2 linked regions of the Tribolium castaneum genome follow. Each later gene encodes a partner of the first gene's protein in a complex. Links are inferred from orthologs where the notes say so. Each region holds a gene or a part of one and is shown in the gene's direction. Other genes may lie near its edges.

Region 1 (4,031 bases):
GGAAATGGCAAAATTTACACTTTTATGAATTTTGTTTCAATTTCTGCCCTTTCAGAGCGTTTTGATAGGATATTTAGGGACGAAATCTCTACCTTTGTTATGTGTTATTGTCAGATAGAGACAAAATTTCAGAAAGTAGTGTTAGGGTTATTAGGCTCCCTTCTGAAGTGTCAAATTGTAACTTTAATGGATTTTGTGTGCTTTTCTGCACTTTTAGAGCGTTATTAATTATTGTTGAATATGTTTAAGGGCAGACAAATCTACCTTGAGTCAACGACATAAACTTCAGTGAGATTTATTGAAAAATGAACTTCTCCTGTCAACCTTTTCATGAAAAAGGGTGTTTAATCGTTTATAAAGGGCGTGTTAACGTCTGTTGTTAAGTTTACCATATAATAAAACATAAAGTACAACTTTTCTATAAAAGCATTTTGCAAAATTCTTATTTATTATTTTCACTGTTTTCCTCCTTTTATGTGTGCAAACGAGCCGGTGATGTGAAAATTAGTGGTATCGCCACAAATTGTGTTAATTTTAAGTCTCCAGAAAATTCGGTTTTAAAAGTAGGGTTATGTTATCAACAGGAAACGTTAAAAATTTCACTTTTATGCATTTTGTGCTCTTTTAGAGCGTTATTAATTATTATTAAATGTGTTTAAGGGCAGATAAATCTACCTTGAGTCAACGACATAAACTTTAGTGCGATTTATTGAAATGTATATAGGGCAAAAATGAACTTTTCGTGTTAAACATTTTCAAGAAAAGGATGTTTAATCGTTCATAAAGGGCGTATTCACGTGTGTTAAGTTTACCAGGTAATAAAACATAAACTACAACAACTTTTCTATAAAAGCATTTTGCAAAATTCTTATTCATTATTTTTACTATTTTCCTCATTTCCTGTAATAACTGATTCGCCCTTCGGGGACCATTCTGAATACTGTTTCCACCCTTTTTTCAAAAAGTATCCTTATATTTAATTGTTATGTATACACTCACAACTTCTTTTTTGCTTTACTTTGGGACACTGTTAAGAGCTACCACCAGAAACAGCTTCCAAAGCATTCGAAAAAAACAGTCGAAGGGCTTAATCTACGGCAGAAATAAAGAAAATTGCAAGATATAAAGTAGGTGAAAAAAAAAGTTTGCGCGCAGCGATTGTCTGGTCGACTGTAATGTTCATGGTGTCAGCACCATTTTTGGTGCTGTCTTTACCGACATGTAATCGCATTGGTAGACCTGTCATTTGACGTTTAAACCTGACAGTTGATTTTTTCATGACATGAGTTGTCAAAGTAGTGGTTTTATCACCTGATACAGATGTGTCTCAAATAATTGTGTCCCCCAAAATGAAGAAATACAAAACGGGGTAGTCCCCCGGGTCTTATGAGTGACATGACGCCAGCTGTTGAGCAGTGGTCCTTATACTCCGCTGCTCAAAACCTCCCGGCCGTCCTAAACGACCCCAATCGCGGCAAACAGTCGAATTTCTTCGTCAAGACATGGGGCGACACATTCGTCGAGAAGACCCAAATCGAGAAAAGCCCCTTCCTGCCCGAAATAACCTACTCGCACTTCGATGGCTACGTTCGCAAGATCGGCAAACGGTACAAGCGGCACATTCGGCTCTCCCAGAGCAAGCTCGAGGCGAATCATGTGAAAACTCGAACGAAGGCGGACCTCATCAACGGCGAGGTTAGCGTCGAATCAATCCCCGAGATTTTCCTGCGGCAGCATTTCCCTCTGAACGATCCCGCAGTGTTCGCGCAAGTTTTCCACGGAAACGACCGGGACCAGGACTACGTCCTGCAGGAGGAGTTGAGTCATTACTTGGACATCGTCGAGGTGCAAATTGCCAAGCAGGTGTCGCAAAAGTCGGGGGCTTTTTTCCACGCCATGACCTCGCACGACACCATCATGGAGCAGATGGGAGTTGCCCACACGGAGGTGCAAACCTTGCGCTCGAAAGTGCAAAAGGTGGACAAAACCCTCGCGAAGGACTCCCTCAAGCTCGTAGGCCTGGCCAGGGCCAAGGCCAACCACGGCAAGCTCGTCGACAAGCTCAAGTTAATGGCAACTGTTTTACAAACACAGCCCACTCTCCAGCTCCTCCTGAGCTCGTCGGATTACGTCGCAGCCCTCGAACTTATTTCGAGCACCCAGGAGGTGCTGTCGAAGGAGCTGGCTGGGGTTACTAGTCTGCGGCACTTGCCCTCGCAGCTTAAAGAAATGTCGAAGTTGATTGATAAGATGTTGAGTACGGAGTTTGAGAGATACGCTGCCGCCGATTTGCACCGGCCTTTGGAGGCGGAAGGTGGGGTTTTGGAGCAGGAGAGGTTGGTTAGTTTGGTCGCGGGGCTGTTGCGACAGAACAATTTGCAATTTTTGGAGACGTATAAGCAGGAGGCTGTCACTGCGGCTCAGACTTTACTCAAACAGTTGCTGATTGAACAGTTGGCGGATGTTGAGGATGATATGGAGATGACGGGGTCGGGGGAGGTGGCCCCCAGTATGGACGCCGCGCATTGGTTGAGGGTGCTGACGCTGGCAAGTGAAGCGCTGGGTGGGTAAAAGATTGATGTATTATTACAATTCGAGAGAAAAATACGTAACTACAAAATAATCTGTATCCAAAATTTAGTGTAGCGGAGTGACAGTGATTTCATAATTTTAATTAGTAGTTTTAATTAATTTAAGTAGTTCACTAACTGCTTGGGAAAAACACATCAAGACTTTTATTTTAATAAGCTGAGAAAAACTGACGTCTAAAATTTTCACGACAAAGATGATGAGGAAAAATAATTATGTTATATTTTATTTTTTTTAATGTTGTTCAATTGTACTTAAGTTGTGTATCATAATTTTGGACTGAGGGAGTGTTAAAAATCTATATTAACTTGCGTTTTGTCGTACATTTTTAAAAATGCTATGAATATGCTTAAAGATGCAAAAACAACGTGCAAAAGAAAGTTGTGGTGAATAAAATTTTCTACAAAAGGTACGACCACATTTTTTCTTTGACAGCTATTTAGGCCCCAAAGACGTTCAAAACCGCCTAAACGACGGATAAACCTTGACGGTTGCACATACTTTTTTTGAAGTAGCTAAATTTAGTTCTCGAGTACTTTGTCATTTTTACTGAACAATTACATATTTCAATAAATTTCGTTAAAAGTAATCTGGTAATTGCCGTATTTAGATGAAAATTTTGTTTCTTTTCTTTTTGTTAACGTTTAAGCTCTTGCTTGATTGTGTGATATTTGCTTTTATCGAGCGTCCAAAAGTTTATGCACGTTTTCAAACTTAATTTAATTTTTTTGCAGTAGATCCATAATTATTAATTAATCAAGCTAAAAATCCACTAAATTGGTTAAGGATCGAAAATTACTGAATTTAACTTTTTTGAGTTTTATTATCACGTTTCCACCCAGAAAGGCAATAATTTCACTAGATTTTCGTCACAGATAAGCCGAAAAATCGTCGAATTGGGTCGAAAATTCTGTTATTTTTGTTATTTTTTTCAGGTACTAATTTTTTCATGAAATTTTGCTTAAACTTTTCTTCAATAAAGCCTCGAATTGTGTCGAAACTTGTGTTATATTTGCTTTTATCGAGTGCTTAAACACGTTTTTGGTCACAAACTCAGTTTTTTCGTGAGGTTTTTTAAGTTATTACTAAATTGGGTCAAAAATATTAGATACTTGTACATACGTGAGCCAGAAACGCAATTATTTATGAAGATTTTGTCAAAAGTAAACCATAAAATTTCCAGAATACTTCAAAAATAGAGCAATTTTTTATTTTCTAAATAATCATGAAATTAAGTCTAAAATTAGCATTTCTAGCCCATGCTCATCCAGAAACTCAGTTATTTAGCAAAATTTCATCAAAAATTAACTGAAAAATCATCAAATTATTTTGAAAATATACAATTTTTTGCATTTGTCGAGCGTCTAAAATAGTCAGATCAACGCTCTGTTTTCTTAACATGTATTTTGAACCGAAAAATCATTAAATTGGGTCGAAAATAA
Region 2 (4,557 bases), about 370 kb from region 1:
AGCTTTTAATAAACAATATTCCACCTGTGCTATAATAAAATTTTTCCGCACAAAACCTCCACATAAATTCAACACTTGATTTATGATTAACATTGTCTGATAACAAAACACACCACATCACGTGTTCGAGTATACATTTCCGCCAATTTACAACATTTAAAACAAATCACGTTTTATGTTTTAAATTGATGCCAATCACTATCCTTTGTGATAAGTGATGAGATAACACAAAATGGCTTTACATAATCCAACCTTCTACAATTTATCTACAATATTGGATGATACTGCAATGTTTTGGGTAAAAAACATAATATTTGTTTTGGAACAAAAGTGAGGTCACTGGCAAGACCATAACTATTTATTTCTAATACCTAATTAACTGTGATTAAATTCATTAACTTAAAAAATAATGAAACGATTAGAGATATTGTTGGCCACCCATTAGGCCATTAATTTTAGCTCAAGTGATAAATTTAAAAACCACGTGCTCCCTGATCAGGGCAGAGATCCAAAACACAGTTGGGTATTCAAGAATTACGACCAGACTTTCAGACTCCACTAGGCCCCTATTTCTTGTGCATTTTGCATTAATTTACAAATTCAAAATTGGTTGGTAACAGAGTTGCCAACAGAAACAGTTATTTCGGACCACTCCGTATAAAAACTATAAACGGTCTTTTTGTGGTAAAAGGCCGGGTGCCAAAACACAATTTTATTATTTTCTGGGCTAAATATGGGAATATGACTCAATAAAACATTGGAAAACGCTGATGACACCTACCTTAGTAGAACTGAGGCGGTCTCCGGTACCCTGAAGACCTGTGGGAGCAATAAATTGGGTTGCGTTTTGGTAATAAAAAGTGAAAATTGGCGTTACCTTCCATCCCATATTTTCGAAAAACGTGCTCAGCCTGGCTTGACCGGTCGTTTTTCCGCCACATGGTCCTGTACAAACCCAAAATAATCTCGTGGAGGATCACATGGTCGACTTACCTCCTGTTAGGACAACTCTGTAACAGGTTTTATCGTTGCCACTGGTCGTTTTATCCATATTTCCGGTGTTTTGACGAAACTTAGTTTTTCCAATTGAATTTTGCTAGTATTCGAGAAGGTGATTTTGTTGTGAAAGGTGAAGAATGAAAATCAAAATTTGTAAGCACTAAAAGAAATAAACCGGGTACATGATCAAATTTTACTGTATATTGATTTCATGATTTGTTATTTCGCGAAAGCGACAAAGGCTGACACGCGACACCGCACAGACGCGGGACTAAAGAAATGTGAGCGAATTTGAGTCTTAAATAAACATCGTCGCTGATAAAATTACATTTTGGGGAGGGAGTTTCGCCGCAGAGGGGTGGCCACACTGGAATCAATACACGTGGTTCCCGTGGCGCAAACTTCGAATCCCTCGCCCATTTACGCAAAAAAACGACGCATCCTAAGCACAATAACGCCAACACAATAATAATCAATCACTTTGTATCGAATTTTATTGTAAATGAGAATTTTTACTGATTTATGAACTGTTTCGAGCTTGTGCACACTCTGCCACTAGCACACCTGATCATCTGTTTTGACGTTTTGGTGACAACAATACAAAAAATGTTTTTTGAGTTCTTTTTCAATTAAGTGTTCAAAAACCCAAAAATGGCGGAGAAAAAGCCCAGCCCCTTGGACCTGAACAGTCCCAGCTTCAACCCCAACATGTATTTGGATAAATTATTCAAAGTAACAATAGCCCCTTTTTCACCCTTGAACTGACACCCTCTTGCAGGAGTCCAACTTGAAGCAAATAATGGACCACGAGAGCGAAATCGTCAAAGACACACAAACCTTGCATTCCGACATGCAAACCCTAGTTTACGAAAATTATAACAAATTTATTTCGGCTACAGACACCATAAAAAAGGTATTGGTGCGTTTTTCTTTCCGAAAAGTGAATTAGTGCCGTAGATGAAAGTCGATTTCAAAAAAATGGAAAACGAAATGGACCTCCTCGCCTCAAACATGTCGTCAATTACGTCGTTTTCCGACCAAATTAACTCGACTCTTCAGGACACAAGGAGCCAAATTAGTAAATTGTCGGGGGTGCACACGCTTTTGCAGCGCCTCCAGTTTTTATTCAAACTGCCAACAAGCTTGAAAACTCGAATGGAGGAAAAGCGATACATTGAGGCGGTTCAGGACTATTTGCACGCCCAGCGTGTCTTGGAACAGTACGGTAACTTGCCATCCTTGCAAGGCATCAAAACCGACTGTGAAACCATCCTTATTGAGCTCAAAAAAGAACTGAGGAAGCACTTCAGTAACCCTCAAGCCTCGGCCAAGGAACTGACCGAAAGTGTGGATTTGCTCCTGCAACTGAACGAGCCGGCCAAAGAGTTGTGTTCTGAATTTTTGATTTGTGCCGAAAAACGTCTCAGTGACCAACTAGTCATGCTGAAGGACCAAAGCGAGCAACGGGACATTTCCGAATTTATTGATTTGGGTTGTTCGGGATTTTTGAGCGATTTGTGTCTGGTTGTGGCTTCCTTTGACGACATGTTTATCAATCGCAACAATTTGGATAATATCGAAAATAGTGATATTTTCGAAAATTTTGCTGCAACTGAACTCAACAACTTTGTTAAACAAAACATGGCGAAGTATTTCGATTTGGTGCAAAATAAAGTCGATTTGGAGCAGGATGTTGGAGATACGGCTGTTTTAGTTCAAGCCTTGGACCGGTTTTATAAAAGGATTGAAAGTAACACACTGTGCAGGGATGTGGATTTTTCGGCGTAAGTGGATAATCGTTTTAATTATTTTTTTGTTGGTAATTTTAAGTCTTCTTTTTAATATCTGAATTCTAGATTATAAACACTATTTTAAAACACGTTTGCCATAGCAACGTGTTTTGAATAAAAATGTCTTAACAAAAAAAAATTAATAACATTTATACGAAAACGCTGAAAGTTCTCGGGTGTCTAGGTATACACTCGCATACACTCGTTGCATAACGAAATTTAAGCTTGTGTTTTCGCACTCGTATTATTAATAACTATTTTTTTATGTTTTTGAATACAGTACAAACTCGTTTTTAGTCATTTTAATTTTTAACCAATCAAAACAATACTACAAAGTGATTTTAAATGACTTCTATTTAATTAATTTTATGGAAGTTCATTTATAAGTTAGTATAATACATCACTTCATTACCTAAAATTATTTTCAAATCTACAGCGGTCTTGAGAAATCAATTAGGTACAATATAAACATTTTTTTTATGAAATATTTTTTATTTTACTGAACGTAGCTTTCAATATTGGTATTTTTCTATAGACTTTTACTGTAGATTCCGCTTAGTTTTTGAAATGTAATCTAATTTTTTTTTGTGAAAAGTACTACACAAAAAGTAAAAATACGAGCCCTAACAACTAAGGGCCGGTTTATAAAAAGCTTTGTTAAAAGTTAATTCGTCGCTAAAAGTTAACAACGCGAATGGACCAATTAAATTTGTTCAATTTGGTCACGTGATCAGTTAATCACGCATTTAATTGCAGATTAACTTAATGACGTTTCTATAAACCGACCCTAAATGTTTGAAAGAATACATTTTTGTAAAGGAAATGCATGTCAAGCTACTGAATGTTTAAATTTAAAAAGGCATATTTTTAACGAATCTGTAACAGAATTCAGGCGTTTTATTGTTCCAAATATGTTCTGTTTTGTTTTTTAAATCTTTCAATTACCACTAAGAAAGATTTCTAGGATAACTTATCATTTTGTGCCAAAAAGACACAATGATATTGAAATCAGGGCTAATAGCTGGTCAAGGCATAACATTAATGTAAGAATTACCAAATTATTAATTCAAAAGTTTTGTGGTGTGACAAGAAGCACCTTTTTTTTTAAATAAACATACCTTCGGGAACGTAATAATTTTTTTTAGAATCCCATGAAATTGAAGGTCAAATAATAATACAAAACTGGATAGTCATATGTTAAATTTTTTAGCTCCTTACATTGCCAAGCGAAGTGGGAAAATTTCATCGTTTAATTTTTTTTTCTAATAACTTATTTTCTAATAACAAAGTTCAGAAAACACTTTAGTATTTAGTATTTAGTGAATTTCATAAGTTTGAATCCATACAAATTATAAATAGTATTGTTGTAATAAAACCAGTTTGATAATAAATAAATAAAATGAATAAAAATAAAATAAAACTAAATAAAAATAAAACAAGATTTCGTCCAAACATTTAGTTATTAGGGCTCGTACTACAGAAATCAGGTTTTCACATTTTTAAAGAAAGTTCAAACTTAAAGCTGTACTACTTGTACACATAGTGCAATTAAGAACTTAAAAAATTACTGTAATAAGAAATAATAGTTGATTTTTTTAATATCTTTTTTGTAAACACTTATTAAATGTTTATGTTATTTATTAGAAAGACAATTTGAAAGTATTTTACGAGCAAAAATAAGTAATACGGCGTTTCCTTTAAGAATTTTAAGTTATTTAAACTTTTAAAACTTTAAACTTTTAAACTTAAAAGAGAGTTCTTCATGTTT

Evidence for each region.
Region 2: scat (region 1) and Vps51 share a complex: the UniProt entries of both Homo sapiens proteins name them as parts of the golgi-associated retrograde protein (GARP) complex. The link is inferred for Tribolium castaneum from reciprocal best matches to the Homo sapiens genes VPS54 and VPS51.

What each region holds. Positions count from the first base shown.
Region 1 is NC_087395.1:16,817,203-16,821,233, reverse strand, and holds the start of scat (vacuolar protein sorting-associated protein 54), read left to right. Parts: upstream 1-1,231; 5' UTR 1,232-1,386; coding exon 1,387-2,563; intron 2,564-4,031. UniProt on the Homo sapiens protein: Acts as a component of the GARP complex that is involved in retrograde transport from early and late endosomes to the trans-Golgi network (TGN).
Region 2 is NC_087395.1:17,182,608-17,187,164, forward strand, and holds the start of Vps51 (vacuolar protein sorting-associated protein 51 homolog), read left to right. Parts: upstream 1-1,545; 5' UTR 1,546-1,650; coding exon 1,651-1,731; intron 1,732-1,777; coding exon 1,778-1,912; intron 1,913-1,956; coding exon 1,957-2,783; intron 2,784-4,557. Other genes in the region: Ttd14 (TRPL translocation defect protein 14), read right to left, coding at 782-819, 878-945, 994-1,051. UniProt on the Homo sapiens protein: Acts as a component of the GARP complex that is involved in retrograde transport from early and late endosomes to the trans-Golgi network (TGN).